7 linked regions of the Ovis aries genome follow. The protein of the gene in region 3 purifies or fractionates together with the protein of the main gene of each other region. This does not show direct contact. Links are inferred from orthologs where the notes say so. Each region holds a gene or a part of one and is shown on either strand. Other genes may lie near its edges.

Region 1 (3,500 bases), on a different chromosome or scaffold from region 3:
GAGTTATCTGTTATAGAAAAATTTTACTAAAAAATGGCTACAATAAAAACGTTTTAGGATAAAAAGCAGTTTCAGCTCTCAGGAAAACTCTATAAACACCTAGATAAACAAAACACTTCTGGAACACCTTTCTGGAACTTGGAGGAAAAAGGTACAGAACACACTAAATTAAACGCTGAAGAAATAGTCTATGGTATTTATGTCCACAAGTCTACCCAAGAACTTGCTAATAAGATTACTGCTGGGTGGGGAGGGAACATGTATTTTTCTTTCAGCCTTGACAAAAACTAAAGAATATTCCACAGAAACTAAAGAACAGAAAGGAAAGAAAAGCAGCTATTCCTACTTCACAGAAAACTGATGTTTAAAATTCCTGGCTGGTCTTTACGTGTTTAAGCTTTCTTGTGCTTTAGTCATGAGGAGACTGAGGTGGGGAGATGGGAAGGAAGAATCTAAAATGAAAGTATATCTGTTTGGTTTTCTAAAATCCTTTCAAAAATGGCTGCCAAACAAATTATTTTCAAAAGCTGGTGGAATGACAAGGAAACTGGCATTCGAAATATTACAAAAAATGACTTGCGTTTACCTTTTGGCCTTTTTGCTAACATCTCTAGGAGAATCTTTGTGAGATGACCTGGACCGTGAGCTCTCTTTATGAGATCTTTCTGAACGCTCTGATCGCTCCGATTTTGGTGATGGGGATTTCACTCGTCTACCACTGCTACTGCGAGATGGGCTAGGGGACGTACTGTGTCGCCTTTTCCTATGGAACAAAGCCCCGAAAACATCCCATAAGTGAGCAAAGGATCAGGTATATCATTTTCCTTCTACTAAATTAGCTTTTAATTCCTATCAGTTTACACTATCTTTACTTTCACTAACTTTATTAATGTTATTTTCCAACAACATTCAAAGCCTTTTACACTAAGAACCAAAAAGTCTTAAAGATAGGCTGACTGACACAAAAAGCTGAATTCAACTAAATTGGATTTTTCTCTGCTTTAAGAGAGATTATTGGAACAGTAGTCAAAATTCCATCAAGGTCTCTGATTAGATGATAGTGTTTTTTTTAAATGTTAATTTCCTGCTCTTGAAAATTTTTTCCTTTTGTTCGATCTGGAAACTTACTGTGGTTAAGTATGAAAATGGGGCATCATGTAAGCAAGTTATTCTTAAATGATTGGGGGTAAGGGGGGAAAGGAAGAAGAAGAAGAAAATAAAGCAAAAGGAGAAATACTTTTAACACTGGGGGAACGAAGGTGAAAGATTATCTGGGAATTCTTTATAGCATTCTTAAAACTTTTCTATAACTCTGAAATTTTATCAAGATAATAATAAATGACAAAAAAGTGATGGATTTACTACTTTACCAATTAGTATAACCATGTTATCTTGTAACTATATGAAGAGTGACTAACCCAAAATTTTTTAATTTGCATTTGCTTGGTTTTTATTATGAAAATCTCAATTCTAAAGTAACTTTCTCTACTAATCAGAGATTTAGGAAATGTAAAAGTAAGAATAAAAACTATAAGAGAAATTATTTTGATTAGAATGAAGACTTAAAGTGAGGACCAAGCCCTACAGCCTAAGTACACAATCTCCCTTAACATACAGGACTGGGAGACTCAAGTTTACAGGTAGCAGCCTCAGCACAGAAGAAAAGCTTATATTGGCGGTAACAGGTAAGATCTAGCAAGCTGCTTAGTTATTTAAGCCTTCAGTTCGATACCTAATACTGTAACTGAATTCTTGCCCTGAACTAAGGCTAAGGTACCTTATGAACCATGTAAAGGGATGATGTCCCAGGTAACTAAGCCTAGTGTCAAATGCCCCTTTGCTCAGCTAATTCTGCCTTCTGCAGGTAGAACCCAAACATGTTTATCATACACAAAAAAAACCCTTTCCAATCTGTTGGTTCCAGTGATGAAAATATTACAAAATGAAACATGATTCCAAATCCTAAAGTCAGCATAGGCATTAAATGAGAAATGTTATACCTTTCTTTCCTTGTTGGAGTACATTCATCTTTCTCCTTCTTGTCTTTGGATCGAGATTCCAGTTTTTCTTTATCCTTCTTATCTCTTTCTCGCTCTCTTTCTAATTCCTTCTCTTTCTCCTGTTTTTTTTTTTTTCAAAGAAATATTTAGTCATTAAAAAACACCAATCTGGTTAATCTCATTTATGTAGTAATATTTTCCCTTCTAGTTAACTATTTATAAAATTACTACTGAAGGCATACCTACTCTTCCAGAAAGCCAATCATTTCTTCTACTTCTCTACTTATACTGAATGATAATAATGAGACCAGCAACAGTGGCTAAGTATTTTCTGAATGCCTACCATAGGCCAAGCAATTAATGAACAACTTTCCATATACCACTGCATGTAATTCTTCGAAACATGCCTATGAATAGTATTATCCTCATTCAAAACATGAAAAATGAGCCTTACAAAGGCTCAGTGCCATGCCTAAGGTCATAGAGGAATGAAGTCAGGATCTGAGCCAAAGCTCTAGAGTCAGGGCTCTTAAAGAGTGGTGTCCCTTCACTTAAAATAAACAAACTGGAAAAACAATATGATGACCTTTCCATCTCAGACTACTATAAAACTGTCAATAGTGATTCTAATTGTACAGCAAACTGATTTAATCAAAGGAAAGCACTTATTAACATACTAAAAAGGAGAAAGACTTATTCACAATAAATGTCTAGCAAAAAGTCTTAGTATTAATAGTGGGAAACAAGTATCAATCATATTGGAAATTTATAAAAGTACAAATTATAAATCCTAATATAAAAGTACAAATTGATTAGATGACTATATAATTACATAAATCAGAAAAATTACTTATTTGCTTATCCCCAACTGCTACAACTGCCACTTCTCACTTGAAATTATGACTGCTATTGATAATTAAGGGCATGGCTACTGACAATGAACCCACAAAGCCAACTGAGCTCTTCAAAAACAAGAATTAAAAAACAAAACAATTAAATTTCTCTATGATTTGTATGCATCAAGAGAGGTAACCGATATATGATAAAAAAAGCCCTTACCAGATGCTGGCAAATGTTTTCTGTAAAGGGCCAGGTAGTAAATATTTTCTGCTTTGTGGGCTATAGTCTGTCAACTTTATAACCGTAGTCCAAAAGCTACTACCGATAATACATAGATAATAACTGAAGGGGCATGGCTGTGTTCTAATAAGTTCATTAACAAAAATGAAGTGATGGTCATAGTCTGCTGACCCCTGGCCTATGTCTTCAAAAAAACACGTTCTTTCTTCCAATTATAACCATGGAGTGCAAGGAGACTAAAATGGTAATAAACATGTTACTACCTCAGGGCCAGTGGGCACCTCGAGGTACAGTCTTCCGTGCAAATCAAACACCTGCCACCATCCCCAAAGGGACTCAACAGGGTTCAGATATATCTTTTTTTTTCACCTCATGTATCTTTTCTCCAAATACAAATTCACAAAGTGATGTTGAAGAGAC
Region 2 (4,201 bases), about 39 Mb from region 3:
CCACTGTCAGAACTGAAATTTTAGTTGGAATGAACCTCTGGCATAGTATATATACTATCTTTATTTCTATGGCCAAAACAGAGTTGGAAAGGATTTCAATAACAGGAAAAGCTACTCCTTCTCAGCACCTTCCCTCTTAACTCTTGTAAAACAGCACGCCACTCCCCACCTTCGACCGTACTCTCTTTTTCCCAGTCTCATTTTTCCTCATAGCACTTAGCACTACCTAACACTATATTATACATCTGTTCATTATTCAGCCTTCTCTGTAAGATGAAAGCCCTATGAAGACGGGATTCTTCTTTCTGCTGTCAACTACCATTTCTCCAAGGAGCTAAACAATACAGGACGAAGTGCATATCAGGTGCTCAATAAACATTAGTTGAATGATGATTAAATGATCCTCCTTTAGACATTTTCTCTCATTAAACAAACCATGCCAGTGAATATGTAGATTTAAAAAAAAAAGGTGTCTGCAGGGCAAGCTCTAGCACTGCTGGAGTTTCCTAAGAGATATGGCTCATTTCAATGGGGCCACAAAAGGGAAAATCAGACACCCATGATGTTTGTACAGTACCTAATATGAAACCCATAGCCCATGAGCATGTAACTCATTTCATGAAAACCGTTCTGTTCATAACCACGAGTAGCTAAGACGAGCGCAAACTACCGCAAAACAGTCATAAGTCATTGCCCCCAGGAGAAAATATTCCGTCCCACAAAAAAAAAAAAAAAAAAAAAGTCATCTGTGCAATACAGCTCACAAATGAAATTGACATTAAAATTTAAACAAACCAGGACTGCTTTAAAAAAAAAAAACTAAGAAATTAAAACAAGTTCCCCTATAATTGTTCAGTACCCATTATTGTTAGTCACTCAGTCGTGTCTGACTCTTTGCAATCCCACACACTGTAGCCCGCCAAGCTCCTCTGTCCATGGAATTTTTCAGGCAAGAATATTGGAGAGAAGCCGTTCTCTTCTCCAGGGAACCGTCCCCGCCCAGGGTTCAAACCCCGGTCTTCCATATAACCAGCAGATTCTGGGCAGATTCTTTACCATCTGAGCCACCAGAAAACACTGGTACCAGCAAATTAACACTTCAAAGTGAATGAGACATTTTGAAAGTAGACTATAAATGGATGTACTATGTTGTTTTAAAATGTATTATTTCGGAGAAACTACTATGTAACAAAAGTGAAGTCGCTCAGTCCTGTCGGACTCCATGGTGTAGCCTGCCAGGCTCCTCCATCCATGGGATTTTCCGAGCAAGAATACTGGAGTGGGTTGCCACTTCCTTCTCCAGATCTTCCCGACTCAGGGATGGAACCCGGGTCTCCCGCACTGCAGTAAGACTCTTTACAGTCTGAGCCACTGCTGCTAAGTCGCTTCAGTCGTGTCCGACTCTGTGCAACCCCACAGACGGCAGCCCACCAGGCTCCCCCGTCCCTGGGATTCTCCAGGCAAGAACACTGGAGTGGGTTGCCATTTCCTTCTCCAATGCAGGAAAGTGAAAAGCGAGAGTGAAGTCACTCAGTCGTGTCCGACTCTTAGCGACCCCATAGACTGCAGCCCACCAGGCTCCTCCGCCCATGGGATTTTCCAGGGAAGAGTACTGGAGTGGGGTGCCACTGCCTTCCCCGTCTGAGCCACTAGGGAAACCCAACTATGTAGCAAGCACTGTTACAAATACCAGAGATAAAAGGTGAATGTAACACGGTGCTTAACTCTGAATACATCACAGCCAGGTGGCGAGCAACTCCATTCCTCAAATCCACACCAAGCTAAAGAAGTTCACATCCAGCCTTGTTTTTAACTTTTACAAAGTAGCTTCTTCTTTATATTTTATGAAACTTTCTTTTAACGCTCATTAAAACTCGTTTTAATAAAAAACTTCGTTCTACAAACGTGAAAATTGATTAGCAAAATCAATGGCTTGAAAGAATTGTCACAGTCACGTTAACAGCCATGCAAAAATCCAACCCGAGGTCCTATGACTCCAAGAGCCATCCTTTTCTTTATTCATTCATCCACTCATTCATTCATCCACTCAACAAATATTCACTGAGTAACTACTGCGCAGCACCCGATGGAGATGCGACAGTAAATGAGGCTCAAACCAAACTTACTTCGGTCCTAACATGATACCAAACTATCATCTGCTCTAAGACCCTGAACAAATTATTTCACCTCCCTAAACCTCAGGTATGTCATCTGTAAAATGGAGACAGTGCCTACAAGGCATGATGCACAATGCCTAGCGTTCTCGAATGTCAGAAATAACTACTACTAAAACTCACTACAGAGGACTAAGAGGAGAGAGTGCTTCCGTTTTGAATACAATCGGGGACCGGTAACCCGTTTAACCAGCCTTAGGCAGACCCACTTTCCCAGCCGCAGAAAGCATCCGACTACGCGAACTTGGGGAACTCTGCGCGCGCCCAAGCACTTCGTTGGCCAAACTCGACGCCTCCCCTCAGACGTCAGACCCCCGCCCCCTTTTAGTTTTCCAGGGGATCCCCCCTGCAGTATCAGAAGGAGACGCACACACACCCCGAGTCCCCCACCTCCCAAAAGGCCAGACAGGAGGGGCCGCCCAACGGTCCAGGCCAGGAGGATCACTGCCTTCTCCCACTGGGAGGATAGCCCCGGGCGGGGTCGCCCCGGTGCCGCCATTCCTCACTCCGTGTTTACCTCACTGTAGAAGGTCATAAATGCTTCCTCCGTGCTGCCTCCTCCACCCGAAGCCCCGCTCTCTCCTGGAGCCGCCATTTCCCCGGCCCAGCGACCACGTGACTCTTCTGCGCAGGCGCCACCTCACGTGATTCTTACAGGCCCGCCTCTCTAACCCCGGCCCTTTCCTTGCGTCTCTTAAAGGGGTCGCCGCCCAGCCAGGTACCTTTAAATAAACTTTTAAATTGGGGTTCCCCAGGTGGCGATAGTGGTAAAGAATCCACCAGCAGCAGGAGACATAATGAGACAGGGGTTCGATCCCTGGGTTGAGAAGATCCTCTGGAGGAAGGCCTGGCAACCCACTCCAGCATGCTTGCCTGGAGAATCCCATGGACAGAAGAGCCTGGCGGCCTACAGTTACGAAGAGTACAACACGACTGAGGCTACAGCCCATATGGTCGCAGAGAGTCGGAGACTGAAGTGATTTAGCACGCATGCACAGATGCCATACAGTTAACCATTTTAAAGTGAACAATTCAGTGGTCTTTAGTATATTCCCAGTATTGTGTAATCACCACCTGTCTAGTTTCAAAACAGTTGCATCGCCCCAAACGGACACTTAGTACCTAATAAGCAGTTTCTTCCCATACTTGCCAATGTCTCTATGGACTTACTTATGCTGGATGTTTCATGTAAATGCAGTCATACAACATGTGACCTTTTGTGTCTGGCTTTTTTCACTTAGCATGTTTCCCTGGTTCTTTCAAAATATAGCACACACCATTACTTCATCACTTTTACGGCTGAATAGTATTCCATCATACGTGTATACCACAATTAGTTTATTCACTAATTGATGACATTATTCACATCAGTTGATGGACATTTGGGTTGTTTCTATCTTTTGGCTATTGTAAAATGGTTCTGCTATGAAGGTGTGAGTACCAGTTTTCTACTGGGGGGAGGTATGTACCTAGAATTGAAATTGCTGCTGCTGCTGCTGCTGCTGCTGCTAAGTCGCTTCAGTAGTGTCCGGCTCTGTGCAACCCCATAGACGGCAGCCCACCAGGCTGCCCCATCCCTGGGATTCTCCAGGCAAGAACACTGGAGTGGGTTGCCATTTCCTTCTTGAATGCGTGAAAGTGAAGTCGCTCAGTCGTGTCCGCCGCCCCTTAGCGACCCCATGGACTGCAGCCCACCAGGCTCCTCCGCCCATGGGATATTCCAGGCAAGAGTACTGGAGTGGGGTGCCATTGCCTTCTCCCTGAAATTGCGAGTCATATGATAATTCTATACTTAACCTTTTGAGCAACTGCCAAGCTGTTTTTCGAAGTGGCTGAACCATTTTACAATCCCACTAGCAATGTAGGAGGGTTACAATTTATCCACATCCTCACCAGTGCTTGTTGTTTTCCATGTTTTTTAATTGCAGCCACCCTAATGCCTCTATGGATCTTTTGCACAAACTCATCAAGACCTTCCACTGGATGCCCACCCAGGAGATAATCAAAAAACACTGAGAACCAGAAGC
Region 3 (2,626 bases):
GCGCTGAGTCCTAACAACTGGACCATCAGGGAATTTCCAATCAACTTTTGTTTTAAAAATTACAAAGAAAATGATGAGCATGAGCTTATTGATGTAACAGAGAGACCTGATCTTTTTAGCTTTTTGTTATGGCAGGTGAAGCAGAGACACTTTTAACTACTGAACATAGCCTGCCAGAGCCACACTATTGTCACTGCAGGCCCCCAATTATTCAGATGGTGACCCCTGATAAAGTATTGCTGGAGGTGATTGATACAGTCCTAATACCAAGAAACATTACTTTAGTTGGGAAATTTACCAAGGAGGAATACAGATTCATTATAATCTATGCCTAATAGATTATTATAATAAATAAGAGAAATAAAGATGCTAGTAACTAAGTCGGTTCAGGTGCTTTTTTTTTCCTCTTAAGGTTTAAGAGAAAAAAGTATTTTTTTCTCTTAAATACCTTTCAGGTTCTCTTCTTGCCTTCGAGGGTAAAACGTGTGAACTTGTTTTTATACCTATCATAGACGTTTTATCTGATACTTGTACTCAGTTGAATAAATTATGGAATAAATAAGTCAATGATTTGTCATAAAGTCAGTCAAAACATGGGAGGTGATAAAAGTTCTTTTTTCTGGGTTTCAAAAAATTATTAGTCCTTCTCTTCCTTTCCCCAAATTGAACTCTTGAATGAATCTTTTTAAAAAACCACAAGGGAAGGGATTTAATCTCATTTTATTTATTTACTGTATACAGTATTGAATTACTTCCGAAGATTTTAAATTTACAGAGTTTAAAATGAGATATTACTGTTAATTGTTCGTATGTTAAGAGTCATGTATCCTCTCTTATTTTTAGTAGCTTGCAAAAATACACATTGTGCTGGGCCTTCTTGCTCCTGTTACTCTGAAAGAAAAATATAGCTTATTTTTGAGCCATTGTGAGCAGGTTTGAATCATCAAAGCAAAAGTTCTCAAGTATAATCATCAGTCATTCTTAAGGTATCCTATGTCAGATACACGAGGTGTAAGGATGACTCTGCATCCATTCCAAGCACTGAATTTGTGATTTAGTTTCTAACAGGCATGCAAGTATTTTCTGTGAAACTAAGACTGCATCTTAATAAAAAGCTTTTTCCCCTCTCCATTACAGGGACCTTGTACACAGACAGACTGCTAGTGCAGTGGTGCAACACATGTCACTTGGGGTTTATGGATTTGGTTGCGAAGATTCGCTGAATCACTTGTTGAACTATGTATGGCCCAATGTGTTCGAGACATCTCCCCATGTAATTCAGGCAGTTATGGGGGCCCTGGAGGGTCTGAGAGTTGCTATTGGACCATGTAGAATGCTACAGTATTGTTTACAGGTAGGTTAAAGGTTTTTTAAACAGTATTCATTGAAAAAATAATGTAGTTGAATTAAGTCACTGTTCCTAATTATCATTAGGGAAGATATATTTGTGCCATATGGGAAAACAGTTATGAGGGGAGAGAAGATTAGATTTTGTCCTTGCCCACTTCAGTTTTATGAAATTGACATCTTTTTTTTTCCTCTCTCAAAGGGAGATGTTTAGAACCATATCTTTATGGTTTGTTTGTTAGTTGTGTTAAGGTTATGTATTTCTTGAAATAATATAACCTTTTAATTATTCTAGGGTTTGTTTCACCCAGCCCGGAAAGTCAGAGATGTGTATTGGAAAATTTACAACTCCATCTACATCGGTTCACAGGATGCTCTCATAGCACATTACCCAAGAATCTACAATGATGATAAGAACACCTATATTCGTTATGAACTTGACTATATCTTGTAACTTTATTGTTTATTTTGTGTTTAATGCACAGCTGTTTCACACCTTAAACTTGCTTTGATTTGGTGATGTAAACTTTTAAACATTGCAGATCAGCGTAGACCTGGTCTTAGAGGAAGAGCTAGAAATCCAGTAGCATGATTTTTAAATAACCTTTGTTTTTGATGTTAAGCAGTAAACGCCAGTAGTGACCAAGAACACAGTGATTACACACACTATACTGGAGGGCTTTCATTTTTAATTCATGTTTATGAAGATTTAGAATTCATTCCTTGTGTTTAAAGGGAATGTTTAATTGAGAAATAAACGTTTGTGTACAAAATGCTAACTTGTGTGTGTTTTTTGAACATGACTTGTAAAATGCGGAACTTTGATAAAGTACTGGTTTCTGTAGAATAAGTGGCTTAATATCGTTTTCTGTCACCTGGTTTATAGAGAGTAGTTAGTAGAATACAAGCTATATAAAGTGATGGTATCTTTGTCAAAATTCCATTGCTCTGTTGATAAAGACATTAGGAAGAGTAGCTTTGAGGGTGTTAACCTCAAACTAGCACAACCCTTCCATCACCTTAGAAAATATAGCACCTTTGCTGAACTGTCTTTAATATTATTTTGCACTTGCATAGCGCCTTTCATCTCTTGATTTCTCAAAATGCTTATGAATTTGCTTAAGGGAAGTAATTGAAGTCATATCCAACTCGTGACAATTCTGTTTAGAATGTGGGAAAAGTAGCTTAAACTTCTACTTGTAGGGAGTGAGGCTACCTCTAAGTCATGCTAGTTAGAATAAGACAATCTTTTGAGTTCTTTGCCCATGTCATGTCGTAA
Region 4 (4,157 bases), about 190 Mb from region 3:
CTGCTGCTGCTAAGTTGCTTCAGTCGTGTCCAACTCTGTGCAACCCCATAGACGGCAGCCCGCCAGGCTACCCCATCCCTGGGATTCTCCAGGCAAGAACACTGGAGTGGATTGCCATTTCCTTCTCCAATGCATGACAGTGAAAAGTGAAAGTGAAGTCGCTCAGTTGTGTCCGACTCTTAGTGACCCCATGGACTGCAGCCTACCACGCTCCTCCGTCCGTGGGATTTTCCAGGCAAGAGTACTGGAGAGGGGTGCCATTGCCTTCTCCGCTGCATGCCTCTAGGGACAGTTAACTAATCTGTTAGAAACTTTAGTTTCTCAGTTTATTAAAGTATGCCAAACACAGAAAACTAAATGAGGTTTTAAAGGCCAGAAACTGGTTCAAGTCATCTTGTTTCATTTGGCAACTTACACTTACATAAACACACAGCCTTCATGAGACAATGAGAATATGGAGCACTTTTAACAAGTTATCTAGGCTTTCTATCCATGGCAAAATAGAAACATTATTTCAACAGTTGCCAAAGCTACTCTCTGAAATAGTCTCAGTATAGGAACACTAACAAATCTAACAGTGAACTGGAAATAATTACCATGAAAATGATAAAGCCTTAACTACAAGGCTTTTTGGATAATCTAGTAGCTAGTTTTAAAACTCACATAAAAAACAAGCATTTGGATGAGAAGTGAGAAGTACAAGGGTGATGCAGTCATGTTTAAAATAACATAAAAGGTTTAAAACTCATGAAAAGTGCACACGTATAGAAAAGAAAATGTGTGGGAGGGTCGATGAGAAACAACAGAAGTCCTATCTGCACAGAAGTCTTTTTATACCCTTCCATACTTTCTGAATTTCTTATGACAAACATGAATGATTTTATTTTTAAAATATAGTAGACTACTAGTTACTGGCATGAAAAAATACCCTCAACAGTGTGTGCATACTTACTGGCTTACTTGTTTCCAACTCTTTGAGAGCTGGTAGACTGTAGCCCACCAGACCCCTCTGTCCATGGGGTTTTCCATGCAAGAAATACTGCAGTAGGTTGCCATTTCCTCTTCCAGGGGATCTTCCCCACCCAGTGATCAAAGCCACCTTGTCTCCTGTGTCTTGCACTGCAGGTGAATTCTTTACCCACTGAGCCATCAGGAAAGCCCATTTAACAGTATCACAATGACAAACGCAGCTTACAAAACAATTGGTTTATCGTGATTTCATTTATGGGAAAAAAAAGTGTATTTTTATAGCTTTATTAAGTTCTTGAAATGACATAGCTCCAATTAATACAGATTACAGGTTTTTCTACTTCATATGTTTCTTTATTGTTTAATTGCTTTCAAAATAAAGATGGCTATCACTTTAAAATTTAGAAGAGATAATTTCATTTTGGGTGAAAAACAGTTGAAAAACTAAAAAGAGGAGAATATTAGGAAACACAGTAGCTCCAAGCTAACGCCAGAACTACACTAGATCTCCAGAAGACAAAGGAAATCACTCTGAATTCAAATACACACTGAATAAATAAATTCCTAGTAAAATTACTAACAGTTTACTGAAGGAAAACTGTATAAAAGGTTTTAAGAAAAAGGTTCTTTGGATGATAAGACCAAGTCAGGTAGGTGGAGAATATGGACTTTGATAGGTGCAAGCTTATTAGTTGTAGTTTCTTGACATAAACTAGTGATATTTAAGATGAAGAAGGTAATCATTACAGAAAATTTGAGCACCAAAGGTAAAGATGAACTCACAATTTGAATCTTACCAGAGGTTATGTTAATGTTTCCTGCTTCAATTCCTGCTTTGAGTCCTTCTTTTCCCAAAAGCCCAGATTCTCCTTTGGCCAGACGCTCCCTCTCCTTCTCTTCCAAACTTCCATAATAGATGTGTGGTTTCTTCACAACAGGAGCCACTAAGTCATCTGGTGCCTTAGTTTTGGTTGCCTGCTAAAACAAAGACCTAGGTTAACCTAAAGCTTAATCTTAGCAGCCTAATAGGTTTCGCAGCAGAATGAAGCTTATTTAGAGCTTCAAACCTATTTCTTCCCCACACAAAGGACAAACCAGACACCAGTTAAAATGTGTCTTCCTTAATCTGGGGGTGGAGGGAAAGAGTGGTTCCAGTCTCTTAATCACTTAAGTTTTGTAGATAGGAAGAGATGGATAAAACTAGTCAATTTCTCGTGCTGATTTTTCTGTCAAAGGTTTTCTCTTGAATATGTGTATTTCATACGGCTGCAGCAGGTGAAATCTCTTCTTGGCTTTTATGAAATTTCCACAATTACTGCTCATCACAGGGGTATCAAGGATAACTGAAATAACCAACGCGATGGTACGGGGGCCAAGTTAGAAAGCTACTGTTCATACATTTCAAACGTTTCGGATATGAAGCAGTAGATAAGTTAGGAGGCCTCGTTACAATTAAGAGTTCTGAAAGTGTCATAAATCTTGGCCAAGACTCTACTCCCTTTCAGAGCTCCGTTTCTGAACCAGACGGAAGAGATATTTACATTTCGGGGCTGGAGTGAGAGGTGAAAACGAGCTAAAACAGATGGAAGCACCCAAGAATTAGGAAAACACCGAAGCCTTCCTCCTCGGCCCTCCACCGCCGTAGCCCGTTCCCTAATGGCCCTGTTTCGCAGGGACCCCCCCACCCCCTCAGCGCTCCCTGCCAGAATGAGACCTGTACCGTGGAGGAGGGTCGTGAGGAAGCCATGCTGGGCTCCGGGGACGCGAAGCCTCAGCGAAAGCCGCGCTCTACGTTTCAGACCGTCCACCGCGCGCCCAGCAAAGCGGAACTACGTCACCAACCGGAAGTGGTCCTAGGTCCGACGCAGCATCCTGGGAGGCGTGGAGCATTATGGGAATCGTAGTAGGAGGGAGTCTGGGCGAGTTGAGAGATGTGATCTGTAGAGCCTCAGAGAGAAGCACGCGGAGGCCAAGGTTCTGCGAAGAGAGAAACTCAGAGGCAGTGTGGGAAGTGTAGTCCAGTTGGCTTAGCGGATGATTCGGGGTGGGCGCCGAGGTTCCGGAAAGGGACTGAACAGGCCTGAAAAGAGGTAGGTGCGGGGAATCGCGCGGCTGCGAACTGAACTCAGGGAGCGAATCGAGGGATTCCGGGGCCTACTATCGGCTCCCGGCCCGGCCAGGGGCTCTAAGTCCTCCTGGCGCCAAGGCCTATGTTGCCATGGAAACTCTCGCCCTGGACCCTTGAGTGCAGCCCAGGAGCTGCGGCGGGAGTGCTGTTCTCCTCCACTGTCAGGAAGTTCTCTTGGCAGTTTCTTCTGGGCTGGGTAGGTTTTCGGTGAATTTGGGCAGTGGTGAAACAATAAGTTCAAAGAGCCCTCTAGCGCCGAAGTGAAATAAAGACCAGGCGGAGGAGCCACGCCCCGCTTTTGCTGTCTTCAGCAGGTCTTTCTGTCTTATTCCGAGAGAGATGATGAATGTGAGGCGTCAGGTAAACTGCAAGCAAGCAACTTGCACGACTCTGCTGCCCTGGGTGCTGGGGCATCAGAGGCGGACAAGACAAGATTCTTGCCCCCTTGTAGGGCGTGAAAGTGAAAGTGAAGTCGCTCAGTCGTGTCCAACTCTTTGCAACCCCATGGGTTCTCCATCCATGGGATTTTCCAGGCAAGGGTACCGGAGTGGATTGCCATTTCCTTCTCCTTGTAGGGGGTGGAGATGCTCAAAATATTGATGTTTCCAGAGCTGGAAAGAGCCCCCTCCTCTCCCCTAGGCCTCTTTCCGATAATAATGCCTATTTACTGTGAAAAATTCTGAAAGAGATGGGAATACTAGACCACCTGACCTGCCTCCTGAGAAATCTGTATGCAAGTCAAGAAGCAATAGTTAGAACTGGACATGGAACAACAGACTGGTTCCAAATCAGGAAAGGCATAGTAAAGGCAATATATTGTCACTCTGCTTATTTAACTTATTAGATGCAGAGTACATCATGCAAAATGCCAGGCTGGATGAAGCACAAGTTGGAATCAAGATTGCCGGGAGAAATATCAATCACCTCAGATATGCAGATGACACCACCCTTATGGCAGAAAGTGAAGAAGACTTAAAGAGCCTCTTGATGAAAGTGAAAAAGGAGAGTGAAAAACTTGGCTTAAAACTCCACATTCAGAAAACTAAGATCATAGCATCTG
Region 5 (3,965 bases), on a different chromosome or scaffold from region 3:
ACACACTGGCAGCCAGGCTGACCAGCACTTCGCCCCAAATCCAGACCAAGAGTTGAGTCCCTGAGATAAAAATTAAATGCTTTGTGGAAAACACGGTGTGGGATTTCTGGCGGTGGTGGGAAGTGGCTGTGGGTTGGGAGCAGGCCGTGGCAGGTGGGTATGCAGCACGCTTGGCTTGTGCTCACATCCCCCAGGAACCCTGGCTGTTGCGACGGCCCCCGCCCAGCACACACGGCTGTGTCTCTGCCCAGAGGAGCGAGTGGGGCATCTCCCAAGAGCAACAGCTGCAACTCCTACCAATGCTGGGTCCTGGAAATTCAAGAGTGAACAGGACAGAATGCCTTCCGCCTTTGGGAACGCCCAGTCCTGTGGGGGAGGGGGCGGGCCTTTAAAAGGGCGCATAATCACACCCTAACAGATGGGCTGGCAGATCGAGCAACTGGCAAGTGGGGGTGTCAGGAGGAATTGTGTGAACTGAGCTTTTAACTACAAGTTAACAGTCTCCTCAAAGGAAAAGAAAAAGAAAAGCTCACACACACACGGATGTGCCAAATTTTGCATTCGATTTCAGGGGGTTTACAGATACACAGAAGCTCAACTCGACCTCCGGGGCAGTCGCAGAGCTCAGGTTAAAAACCCAATCCAAGGAGCGTGGCAAGGCAGCGTTGGCAGACAATACTAGATGTAGGGGTTGGAAGGAAGCTGGACTGTGGAGCTGGGGGCCTCGGGAGAACATGCTACGTCGTTTAACACCCGATGGAGCCACGACCCCAGGCAGTACACTAGGAGGACGCCACTGGAGAGGTGGACCCTGCCCAGAGACAGTCCGTGAGCCAGTGAACATCCGTAATTGAGGGTGTGAAAGCGGAGGGAAGCCGGGAAGGGGCTTCCAGCTCTGGCGATCCTGGCTTGGATGGTCCCTAGGTCCCATTCTGGGATACTGTCTTCCCCAGACCCAGTGGCGAACCTTGAGGCGCGCATGCGCAGTCGGCCCCCCGGCTCAAAGACCGCTACCCCGGCTAGGCTGGCTGCGACTGCGCAGTCGGGTTCAGATCCCGGCCTTCCCATGAGCCTTTGGGGCAGGCTCCGAGGCAAACGACGGAAGCAGCCGCTCTTGGTTTCCGGCAACAGGACACCGGCTGTCGGGCGACCCGGAAGTGTTCCCATTTTGCGTCGTCGGGGCTCGGCGGCGGCCGGGCTCGGGGTTAGACAGACCACCATGGGGTCGTCAAAGAAGCACCGCGGGGAAAAGGAGGCGGCAGGAACTACAGCAGCGGCCAGCACCGGGGGCGCTACCGAACAGCCGCCTAGGCACCGGGAGCACAAAAAACACAAGCATCGGAGCAGCGGCGGCGGCAGTAGCGGCGGCGAACGACGGAAGCGAAGCCGAGAGCGTGGGAGCGAGCGCGGGAGCGGGCGGCGCGGGGCCGAAAATGAGGCTCGCAGCAGCACGCACGGGCGGGAGCGCAGCCAGACAGAGCCCTCCGAGCGGCGCGTGAAACGGGAGAAGCGGGATGATGGCTACGAGGCCGGTGAGGGGCCTGTGCAGGGGGCGGGGCGACCGGAGGTGCCTCGGGTATGTGGGCTCTGGGTATGGAGGCCGAGCGCACCAGGCCGAGGCATCCTCTGGCTTTTTCGTCAGCACTTTCTAAAGGGTCTTCCTATGGCTATTTGGGACTGAAGGTTGTCTTTCTTTGTTAAACTCTCTGAGGGTAGAGATTTTCTTTGTTTTCCTCACGACCCCTCCCTGAATGTGTTGAATGAATGAAGCGATGGTAGCATGTGCAGAGGCAAGAACAAACATGTTGTCAAAGTTGTGTAGAGTTCATAGGAGAGACAGCAGTCTGTAAGAGAGACACGGATCTGAACACTAAGGGCCATATAGGCCCTGTTAAGAAAGTGAAACTTGTTTTGAGAGGAAGCCATGAATTTGAACTGACGAGTGAGTTGATCACATTCATATTTTGCAAAGATCTGGGAGAAGGGCAGTAGAGACTGGAGGTGAGATGAAGGCTGATGGTGGCCTGCACCGAGGCATTAGCCATGGGATGGAGAGACGTGGACAGATTGGAGAGGTGTTTTGGAGGAGGAGGTGATGGAGCTTAGCATTTGGATGAGGGCTGGAAAGAGAAGAAGGAATTGAGGGTGTGCCTTGAATTTTGACTTGAGCAACTAGTTGAGTGGTAGTGATCTCTGCTGATGTTATCCTGGTGGTTCAGTGGTAAAGAATCTGCCTGCAGTGCAGAAGACAAAAGAGACAAGGGTTCTATCCCTGGGTTGAGACGATCCCCTGGAGGAGGGCATGGCATCCCACTCCAGTATTCTTGCCTGGAGAATCCCATAGACAGAGGAGCCTGGAGAGCTATAGTCCACAGGGTGGCAAAGATTTGGACACAACTGAAGTGACCGAAGCACACATGCACAGTGCTGTCGACTAATTTCAGGAGTTTGGAAGAGAAACAGATTTTTGGAGGGAGACAACCGAATTCCGTTTTGGAGAGTGTTGAATTTTATGTGCATGGAGAAACTCAGGGCTTGGGCTGGATAGAGCAGTTTGGGAATCATGAGTGTTTAGGTGGCATATGAAGTCCACTGAGAGACTAGGAGTAGGAAGCCTACTGGTAGGAGAACCTGATAAATGCTAGTGTCTTAGTATTACGCTGAGCAGGAGGCTACGAAAAAAGGAGGTAGGCTGTCCCCCAAAGCAGGAAAACCATAGAATCTCGTGTCAGGGGATCTGTGGGAGTGATCATCTGTGTCACACACTGCTGGAGACCAGATGAAAACCAGAGCTGAAAAGAATCCTTGGGGTTTTGAAATAAGGAGGCTGGTGATCTTGGAGAGAGCCTGGAGTGGTTGGGATTCAGAGTTCAAGTGGGATAAGGTACAGAGGTAGGTTGTGAGGCGAACATGCTGGAACGATGAGCTGTGGTGGCGCCTGGTAGGGGCAGCTCCGTCTGAGTCCGAATCTGACTTCTGCATGTGGTGTTCAGTGAAGTCACTTGCTGTTTGTGAGGTGAGTAGAGGATGTCCTAAATGCTCCTGTATCTCAGTGATCTCAGCAACATTACAGAAGAGGCTCCAATAAGTATATTTCTTCACTGCATGAATTACACAGAGGGCATAGTTATGCTGCCAAGATGGTCCCTACCCTGTGAGGAGAAGCAGGTCCAGAAATGACTGTGGCAGTGTTGTGCAGAGGAGAGCAGGTCATGCTGATCAGTAATGGAGCAGGACTCCAGGGAGGAAGTGGGGTCTGATAGGATTTTGTTAACAGCCTGAGGCCAGAGAAGGCAGTGTAGGTTGAAAGCACAGGATACGCAAAAGTGGAGAGGTGGCGAAGTGAAGGATGTAGAAAGCTGGACCCTTTGGATCAGGAAAGGAAGGTGTGGGGAGAAGCAGCGTTCTCAGAGCCTGGGACTCGGATGGAAGGAGCTCCTGGTTGGGGGGAAGCAGGCCGAGGTGCTGACCTCGTCTTCGGCCCTGCACCTGGAGCCAGGGCTGCGGCTCCTGGGCCCAGTGCTCTGCCCCTGAGCCTTGCTGCTTCTTGTTCCAGCTGCCAGCTCCAAAACTAGCTCAGGCGATGCCTCGTCACTCAGCATTGAGGAGACCAAGTAAGTCCTGTCTCCTTTTCATTTCTGTGTTTTCTTGTGGGACAAGCAGCTTCTGGGGTAGCTGTCTGGGGAGGCTTTCGCGTAGTACATGTTCTGATTGAAGTTGGAAGTGTCATGTAAATCATCCTAGCCAACCAGCTGAGTTCCCGAAGTGGACTCTGAGGCCCAGGAGAGCATGGCCTTGCCCTGGCTAGGGGGCAGGCCAGGCCTTCCGGCTGATTGGGAGGCCGGTGCTCTTCCCACTGCTGGGTCAGGCCCTAGGTTTGAGACCCTTCGGACCACTCAGTCCCTTCCTGTTTTCTCCCCCTCTTTGTCCAGAAATGCATTTGGTGCCCCCATTTCTTGGACAGC
Region 6 (3,500 bases), on a different chromosome or scaffold from region 3:
GGACACAGGTGTGATCCCTGATCAGAGAACTAGATCCCGCATGCCACAACTAAGGCCTGGTGCAGCCAAATAAATAATAAAATATTTTTTAAAATAAAAAATTTTTCTGGAAACAGACCAGAATAAGATTAGAGTCCCAGAGGAGAAACAATAAAGCCCAGATGAGTAATCATAGAAACCAAGATAACATCAATAACTTGGTTTGAGCCAAGTGCCAAACTCTCACATTACAGTTCCCCTCTTACAGCTTGAGGGGACCACTTAAGGATGGAAATCATGTCTCCCTCTAGCTGGACTTTTATCTAGTCATGCTTCTGCCCAGTCAGGAAATTTCTCTTGAAGAGCTGAGAATGTCCCTTCCTCTCACCTTGACAGAGTGTCTATGGGAAATTGGGTTGATCAAAGGATCAAAGTAGAAAGCTGGCAAATCAGGATCCTCAGTTTTGATGAACACAACATTAGGAGTGTGGTACCTGAAATGAAACAAGAGTCAGCCAAGGTGCTCCCCGCTGGCCCAACCGAAATGCAGCCACCCCTTTCACCCAGCTGGGCTCCAGCTCTCTCACCAGGTGAGGTGGACATGGTGCGGCAGGTTGTTATACAGGTAAGGAAACGCAATCTTGTACTCGGTGCGGATAGGCTGCCGGATGATGATCTTGTTAATGTCGTTGAATTCATTCCAGTCTTCATCCCTAGGGCACAGAATCAAGGGTGAGCAGCTGAGTTGGGCAGTCTGGAAACTACAGTGGGATCTAAAGGATCAAGATTAGATTTTACAATGGCTGCTTCATGTTGATGTTGGGCAGAAACCAACACAATTCTGTAAAGCAATTCTCCTTCAATTAAAAAATACATTTAAAATTTACTTTTTTAATTTAAAAACACTCTACTCTCTCTAACTTACTGTAGGTTGATGTCTCGAACAAGAGGCTCAAATTTGGGGCCTCCAGGAATGGCCATATTAAGTGCCTTGGATGTAAAAAAGGCCTTCAGATCAAACAGATAGAAGTAATTGTCATCAACCAAGTCTGTCAAGAGCTGATTGGCCAGGCGGTAGAGAGTGGACATCATAGGCAATGTGAACTGCCAGCGCTGGTAAGTGGAACCATTTACATACCTAGGGAAAAAAGAGAGGCCCATATAAGTTCAAGTAGGTGTACCAGCTAGCCAGGTCATGCTACCTACTGGTCTCCCAGGACCGCTCTGGAGTTCCAAACCCTCACAGGAGTGGTAACTCCAACTATCACTCACTTCCGGCTATCCCTTAATGGCTGATGGTCATAGAACCAGTCCAATACAGGGGCATCCTCCTCAGGGTCCAGCTCTAGCTGAATGGCTTCCAGTGGCTCAACATCTAGGATATTGTCAGCATAGTCCAAAGGTGGCTCCTCATCATCAAAAGGGGGGAAACGCATCCTCTTGAAATGCCTCCTGTCTCTTTTTTCCCGACGCATCATAATCCACATTGACCTGGAAGTCGACAATGTCACGCAACAGTTTCTGCACGGTGTCCCCTCAACTGCCACCACCACACCCCACATTCCAGCCCTTCTCACCCCCACTGGGAGATGTAGACAGGTTCAATGACCCAGGGGATCTCATTGACAAAGGAAATGGCTCCGGTGATGTGGTACAGCACAGGCACATCCCGGATCTGCTCCCAAGGCATAGGCATGTTCTCCAGGAGCTTGAGGACTGCATGTGGCATGTACTTGAGGGCACTGTAACAACAGGAAGAGAGATGATTAGAAACGACAAGGTGTTCTGCTACCTGAGCCATGCAGAGAAGTAACAAGGTACCACAGTATCCGGCCTTACAGTCTAAACTCCTAAGTACAGTACACAGGCCCTCCACAGTATCCGGCCTTACAGTCTAGACTCCTAAATATAGTACACAGGCCCTCTGTGACCAGGAACTCTGCCTCCCCACCTCCAACAGTGCCACTTTTTTTTCTTAAACATCACTGTCCCACAATACTGGGTTTCAGTCCCTCTAAATCATCAGCTATCTCCCTAAAAACAGCTTTTAGGCTATCTCACATCCTATCTCTCTATGAAGTGAAGTCGCTCAGTTGTGTCCGACTCTTTGCAACCCCATGGACTGTAGCCTACTACGCTCCTCCGTCCATGGGATTTTCCAGGCAAAAGTACTGGAGTGGGTTGCCATTTCCTTCTCCAGAGGATCTTCCTGACCCAGGGACCGAACCCAAGTCTCCCGCACTGTAGGCAGATGCTTTACCGTCTGAGCCTAAATAATAAAATATTCACTACACTTTATTTTAATCATTTGTCTGTTATGTCAGTAGGCCATAAGCTCCAGAAAAACTGTTGCTTCCTGACTGTTGCTATATCCCTGGCACCTAGCACAGTTCTCAAATACTTTTGAAATAAACACAACTTCCGTTGCTGTCTTGGACTAGTTCATGAAATGGCTAACACTTCTGTGTAAAAATGAAAAAGGATCTGCTAAGGTATTTATACCTGTACTCACCCACCTTGGGAAAACAAAAGGACACAAAGACCTCAGAAAGTAACTACCCTCAAACCTGAAGATTCTTGTCACTTAGGAATTACAGGCAACAAGAATGTATGCTTTAATTCACTCAAAGATAAAGATGTCTTATCATAGTGGCAACAGGACAAATTAAAAACTCCAGTCCCAGATCAGGGAAAAGAAACAGAACAACAAAGAACATAACTGAGAACATCTTACATTGTTGGTAGTAACATAAATTGTTACAGTCACTAAGAAGAACAATATGGAGGTTCCTTAAAAAAACTAAAAAACAGAGCTACCATACGAGCCAGCAATCCTACTCCTGGGCATATATATAGAAAACCATAATCTGAAAACAAACACGAAACCCAATGTTCACTGCAGTACTACGTCCAACAGCCAGAACGTGAAAACAACCTGAACACAGATCAACAGATGAGAGGATAAAGAAGACGCAGCACACGCACACTCAGTCCAGTCCAGTCGCTCAGTCGTGGCCGACTCTGCGACCCCATGAACTGCAGCACGCCAGGCCTCCCCGTCCATCACCATCTCCCGGAGTTCACTCAGACTCACGTCCATTGAGTCGGTGATGCCATCCAGCCATCTCATCCTCTGTCGTCCCCTTCTCCTCCTGCCCTCAATCCCTCCCAGCATCAGAGTCTTTTCCAATGAGTCAACTCTTTGCATGAGGTGGCCAAAGTACTGGAGCTTCAGCTTTAGCATCATTCCTTCCAAAAGAACACCCAGGGCTGATCTCCTTTAGAATGGACTGGTTTGATCTCCTCGCAGTCCAGGGGACTCTCAAGAGTCTTCTCCAACACCACAGTTCAAAAGCATCAATTCTTCGGCACTCAGCTTTCTTTATGGTCCAACTCTCACATCCATACATGACTACTGGAAAAACCATAGCCTTGACTAGACAGACCTTTGCTGGCAAAGTAATGTCTCTGTTTTTGAATATGCTATCTAGGTTGGTCATAACTTTCCTTTCAAGGAGTAA
Region 7 (3,175 bases), on a different chromosome or scaffold from region 3:
TGATGATGAATATTCTCAAGCATCTAAAAATAATGAACTTGATCTACATATAAAAACTTTGTTGAAAATAAACAAAAACCAAAATAAATTAACAAACCAACTGGAACCACATAGATACAAAAAACAGAGTTGTGGTTATTAGAGGGAAGGGGCTGAGTGTACAAAATTTGTAAAGGGAATCAACTGTATGGTGACAGAAACTTAAATTTTTGGTGGTTAGCCCAGTATAATACAGAAGTAGAAATAGAATATTGTACTTATGTAACAAACCAATTTTAACTCAATATGGAGATTCCCTGGTGATCAGTGGTTAGAACTTGGCGTTTTCACTACCGAGATCCCACAAGCCATGCCCTGTGGCTAAAAACAAAAAACTGCAATGTAATCTAAAACCATGAGTGGAAATACATTCCAACTTCTGGGCAGGCAGGAGAATAGAGTGGGAGGTGGGTCTAAACTATAATATTTGTCTTGAAAAACTGACACAAGTACAAAATATTAACATTTCAAGTCTGAATGTTAAGAAGTAGAACTCAGGGGACTTCCCCTGTGGTCCAGTGGCTAACACTCCATGCTCCCAATTCAGGGGGCCCCGGGTTCGGTCTCTGCTCAGGGACCTAGATCCCACATGCCTCAACTAAAGATCCTGCATGAAGACCAGCACAGCCAAATAAATTAAATAACTATTTTTTAAAAAGAAGTAGAGCTCAATAGGTTGTAAGTTCCACAAGGGCAGAAATCTTTGGTTTTGCTGATCTGTCCCATAGACCCCCCCCAATTCCCCGCCCAATAGATTTTTTTTTTCTTTTTAAGATTGTGGTACTTCTTTCATTCTTTAGAAATTCAGGCCCAAGGGCATACAACTAGTAAGTGAAAAAGCTGGGATTAACTCAAGGTCTGGAATTCCTTTCCTTGTCCAATGTTGCCCTTAAATGTTAGATTCTTGTATTTGTAAAACAGATTTATACATGTTACTCCACCTTGTTAACAATGAAAACTCCTATATGAAACACAAATGTAAATTCTTCCAAATGTGGAGCCTCACAGACACAACTAAGTATAAGCTATTCAAGCACTAAACCAGTATTTAGGTCATACCATTTATCTGTTTCTAGTACCCAGTACAGTCTAGGGCTCAGGTTGGTCTTGGTAATGTGGCCATCTGTATTAGAGTTCATGTGATTTGGAAGATGATGAACCCTTCTCTTGTGTGATGAAAACCAATTCGGATTGATATTTCTTTCAATGTTTCTAGGAGCTTGAAATTGTCATTGGAGACGAACACATTTCTTTCACAACATCAAAAATTGGTTCCCTTATTGATGTCAATCAATCCAAGTAAGTACACATGATCCTTATAGTCTGTTTTCGAGCATGCTGATATGAAACCCATAATCAAATTGAGACTCTTATGGTAAGATAATAATCTGGTACAAATCTAAGAACTGGCCAGCTTTGTCCCCATCAATAGAGAGACTCCCAGATTATCTTCAAGGGCTTGCTCTGTTTGCTTTTGGTGTTTTAGTCAGTCGTCGTCAGTGAGCGCTTCTCAGTGATGCACCCACAGAGTAATGCCATAGGGGCAGCCAAAGTGGGAGAGTCTGGCCAAAACAAAAAGCAACTGCTGGAAATACCTATGAAATCAGTGAGTCTGGGTACCTTCCTCAGTGTTGGTTATTCAGATTGCACATCTTAAAGCCTGACTTTAGTGAAACTTGAAATCATTTAGAATATAAATTTTAAAATTAGTTTTTGCGAGGGTAAATTATTGAGACATGAATACACTATACACAGAATCATTAGAATTTGGCAGCCTCTTTGTCTCTTGTGTTTTGAGGATTTGGGATTAGATATAGTTCACTTTCAGTACATGTTGGGCATAGTTGTCTTCCTATGAACAGTCTCCTGTTCTTACCCACTTATGCTATAGTAAGGTTGAGTGAGTCTCTTGGTCCTGCTTAGCACTACCTCTTAAAAAGGAAGTTTTCCTAATTCTGAAAGTAATATGTGCTTACTGTAGAAAATATAGGAAATACAGAAATGTAGAAAGGTGAAAATCACCCATAAAATTATCAGTTAGATAACCATTAATATTAAAGTATTTCTGTGTTTTTCCTGTGCTTTAAAAAAGTCTTTTAAAGCACAAAAAATGAATTGAGATCAACAGTCTCTTACTTTAATCATGATTTTTTTCTACTTAATATAAGCATTTCCTTCTTTAAAAACCTTAATGTTTTAAATTACTTCTTAATATTCCATTTTAATGTATATAGAATTTTTCTTCTTTTTGGACATTTGGTTGTTTTCAAAGTTTTAATTCTGTAAATACTTCTTACGAGGAATATCCTGGTACGTAAGTAATCTGGGTTATTAAATGGTAATTTTTGCTGAGTTTTTTCAGCTTTTTTAACATCTTTTTCCTCTTGCATTACAGGGATCCAGAAGGCTTACGAGTATTTTATTATCTTGTCCAGGACCTGAAGTGTTTGGTCTTCAGTCTTATTGGATTACACTTCAAGATTAAGCCAATCTAGATGGAACATTGGTGTGGACACAAGGGGGGTGGGAGTGCTGCTTTTAATTACCATTATCTAGACATTTTTGTGTATATCAGGGCAGTATTTTTTTTATAAACTATAAATGATTGTCTTTAATAAATACATAACAAAAAGCAATTTTTTTTTAAATTTTATAAAGACCTGAACATGTGAACTTGTCTCAAATTACTTTTTAACACTAGGTTCTTATGTGAAGTATTGCCAAAAATCTAATCAACTCTGTACATATAACTACCAGTTTATAGGAAGTAAAAGATTAGAGAAACATGCTAAAAAATAACTGGAAATCCAATCAGTAACCAGAGGAAACTCCAGGATAAGTGATCTGATTTCTTAAAAAAAAAATAAGCTGCAAACATAAATGGAGATGGAGTGGGAATGTTAAAGAAGATTTGAGAGACATATAATCACATAATCAATACAATGTTCGAACCCTGCTTGGATCATGATTCAGGAAATGTAAAGTTGCCATCAGTAGGAAAATTTAAATACTCCATATTTGGTATTAATGAAATGTTAATTTTTTAGGGAGTAAAGTGGTATGGTTGATATTTTGATTTTTTTCATCTAGCTTTACTGAGGTATAATTGAGGTTGGAGGGTTTTTTGGTTTTTTCA

The links.
Region 1: the proteins of SF3B1 (region 3) and U2SURP purify together in Homo sapiens (affinity purification with mass spectrometry; 4 studies listed by BioGRID and IntAct, with this or other methods). This does not show direct contact. The link is inferred for Ovis aries from reciprocal best matches to the Homo sapiens genes SF3B1 and U2SURP.
Region 2: the proteins of SF3B1 (region 3) and DNAJC8 purify together in Homo sapiens (co-immunoprecipitation; 4 studies listed by BioGRID and IntAct, with this or other methods). This does not show direct contact. The link is inferred for Ovis aries from reciprocal best matches to the Homo sapiens genes SF3B1 and DNAJC8.
Region 4: the proteins of SF3B1 (region 3) and PRPF4 purify together in Homo sapiens (co-immunoprecipitation; 3 studies listed by BioGRID and IntAct, with this or other methods). This does not show direct contact. The link is inferred for Ovis aries from reciprocal best matches to the Homo sapiens genes SF3B1 and PRPF4.
Region 5: the proteins of SF3B1 (region 3) and SART1 purify together in Homo sapiens (co-immunoprecipitation; 4 studies listed by BioGRID and IntAct, with this or other methods). This does not show direct contact. The link is inferred for Ovis aries from reciprocal best matches to the Homo sapiens genes SF3B1 and SART1.
Region 6: the proteins of SF3B1 (region 3) and PRPF8 purify together in Homo sapiens (affinity purification with mass spectrometry; 5 studies listed by BioGRID and IntAct, with this or other methods). This does not show direct contact. The link is inferred for Ovis aries from reciprocal best matches to the Homo sapiens genes SF3B1 and PRPF8.
Region 7: the proteins of SF3B1 (region 3) and MAGOH purify together in Homo sapiens (co-immunoprecipitation; 3 studies listed by BioGRID and IntAct, with this or other methods). This does not show direct contact. The link is inferred for Ovis aries from reciprocal best matches to the Homo sapiens genes SF3B1 and MAGOH.

The regions. Positions count from the first base shown.
Region 1 is NC_056054.1:246,575,021-246,578,520, forward strand, and holds part of U2SURP (U2 snRNP-associated SURP motif-containing protein), read right to left. Parts: intron 2,120-3,500; coding exon 2,001-2,119; intron 764-2,000; coding exon 587-763; intron 1-586.
Region 2 is NC_056055.1:238,878,464-238,882,664, reverse strand, and holds the start of DNAJC8 (dnaJ homolog subfamily C member 8), read right to left. Parts: upstream 2,801-4,201; 5' UTR 2,770-2,800; coding exon 2,692-2,769; intron 1-2,691. UniProt on the Homo sapiens protein: Suppresses polyglutamine (polyQ) aggregation of ATXN3 in neuronal cells.
Region 3 is NC_056055.1:199,700,664-199,703,289, reverse strand, and holds the end of SF3B1 (splicing factor 3B subunit 1), read left to right. Parts: intron 1-1,137; coding exon 1,138-1,354; intron 1,355-1,642; coding exon 1,643-1,801; 3' UTR 1,802-2,126; downstream 2,127-2,626. UniProt on the Homo sapiens protein: Component of the 17S U2 SnRNP complex of the spliceosome, a large ribonucleoprotein complex that removes introns from transcribed pre-mRNAs.
Region 4 is NC_056055.1:10,447,135-10,451,291, forward strand, and holds the start of PRPF4 (U4/U6 small nuclear ribonucleoprotein Prp4), read right to left. Parts: upstream 2,801-4,157; 5' UTR 2,717-2,800; coding exon 2,684-2,716; intron 1,948-2,683; coding exon of another isoform or gene 1,945-1,947; coding exon 1,767-1,944; intron 1-1,766. UniProt on the Homo sapiens protein: Plays a role in pre-mRNA splicing as component of the U4/U6-U5 tri-snRNP complex that is involved in spliceosome assembly, and as component of the precatalytic spliceosome (spliceosome B complex).
Region 5 is NC_056074.1:40,495,641-40,499,605, forward strand, and holds the start of SART1 (U4/U6.U5 tri-snRNP-associated protein 1), read left to right. Parts: upstream 1-1,165; 5' UTR 1,166-1,219; coding exon 1,220-1,532; intron 1,533-3,556; coding exon 3,557-3,614; intron 3,615-3,965. Other genes in the region: TSGA10IP (testis-specific protein 10-interacting protein), read left to right, coding at 195-327. UniProt on the Homo sapiens protein: Plays a role in mRNA splicing as a component of the U4/U6-U5 tri-snRNP, one of the building blocks of the spliceosome. May also bind to DNA.
Region 6 is NC_056064.1:22,672,302-22,675,801, forward strand, and holds part of PRPF8 (pre-mRNA-processing-splicing factor 8), read right to left. Parts: intron 1,722-3,500; coding exon 1,557-1,721; intron 1,471-1,556; coding exon 1,252-1,470; intron 1,118-1,251; coding exon 905-1,117; intron 693-904; coding exon 567-692; intron 474-566; coding exon 368-473; intron 1-367. UniProt on the Homo sapiens protein: Plays a role in pre-mRNA splicing as core component of precatalytic, catalytic and postcatalytic spliceosomal complexes, both of the predominant U2-type spliceosome and the minor U12-type spliceosome.
Region 7 is NC_056054.1:27,767,754-27,770,928, reverse strand, and holds the end of MAGOH (protein mago nashi homolog), read left to right. Parts: intron 1-1,255; coding exon 1,256-1,338; intron 1,339-2,434; coding exon 2,435-2,534; 3' UTR 2,535-2,675; downstream 2,676-3,175. UniProt on the Homo sapiens protein: Required for pre-mRNA splicing as component of the spliceosome. Plays a redundant role with MAGOHB as core component of the exon junction complex (EJC) and in the nonsense-mediated decay (NMD) pathway.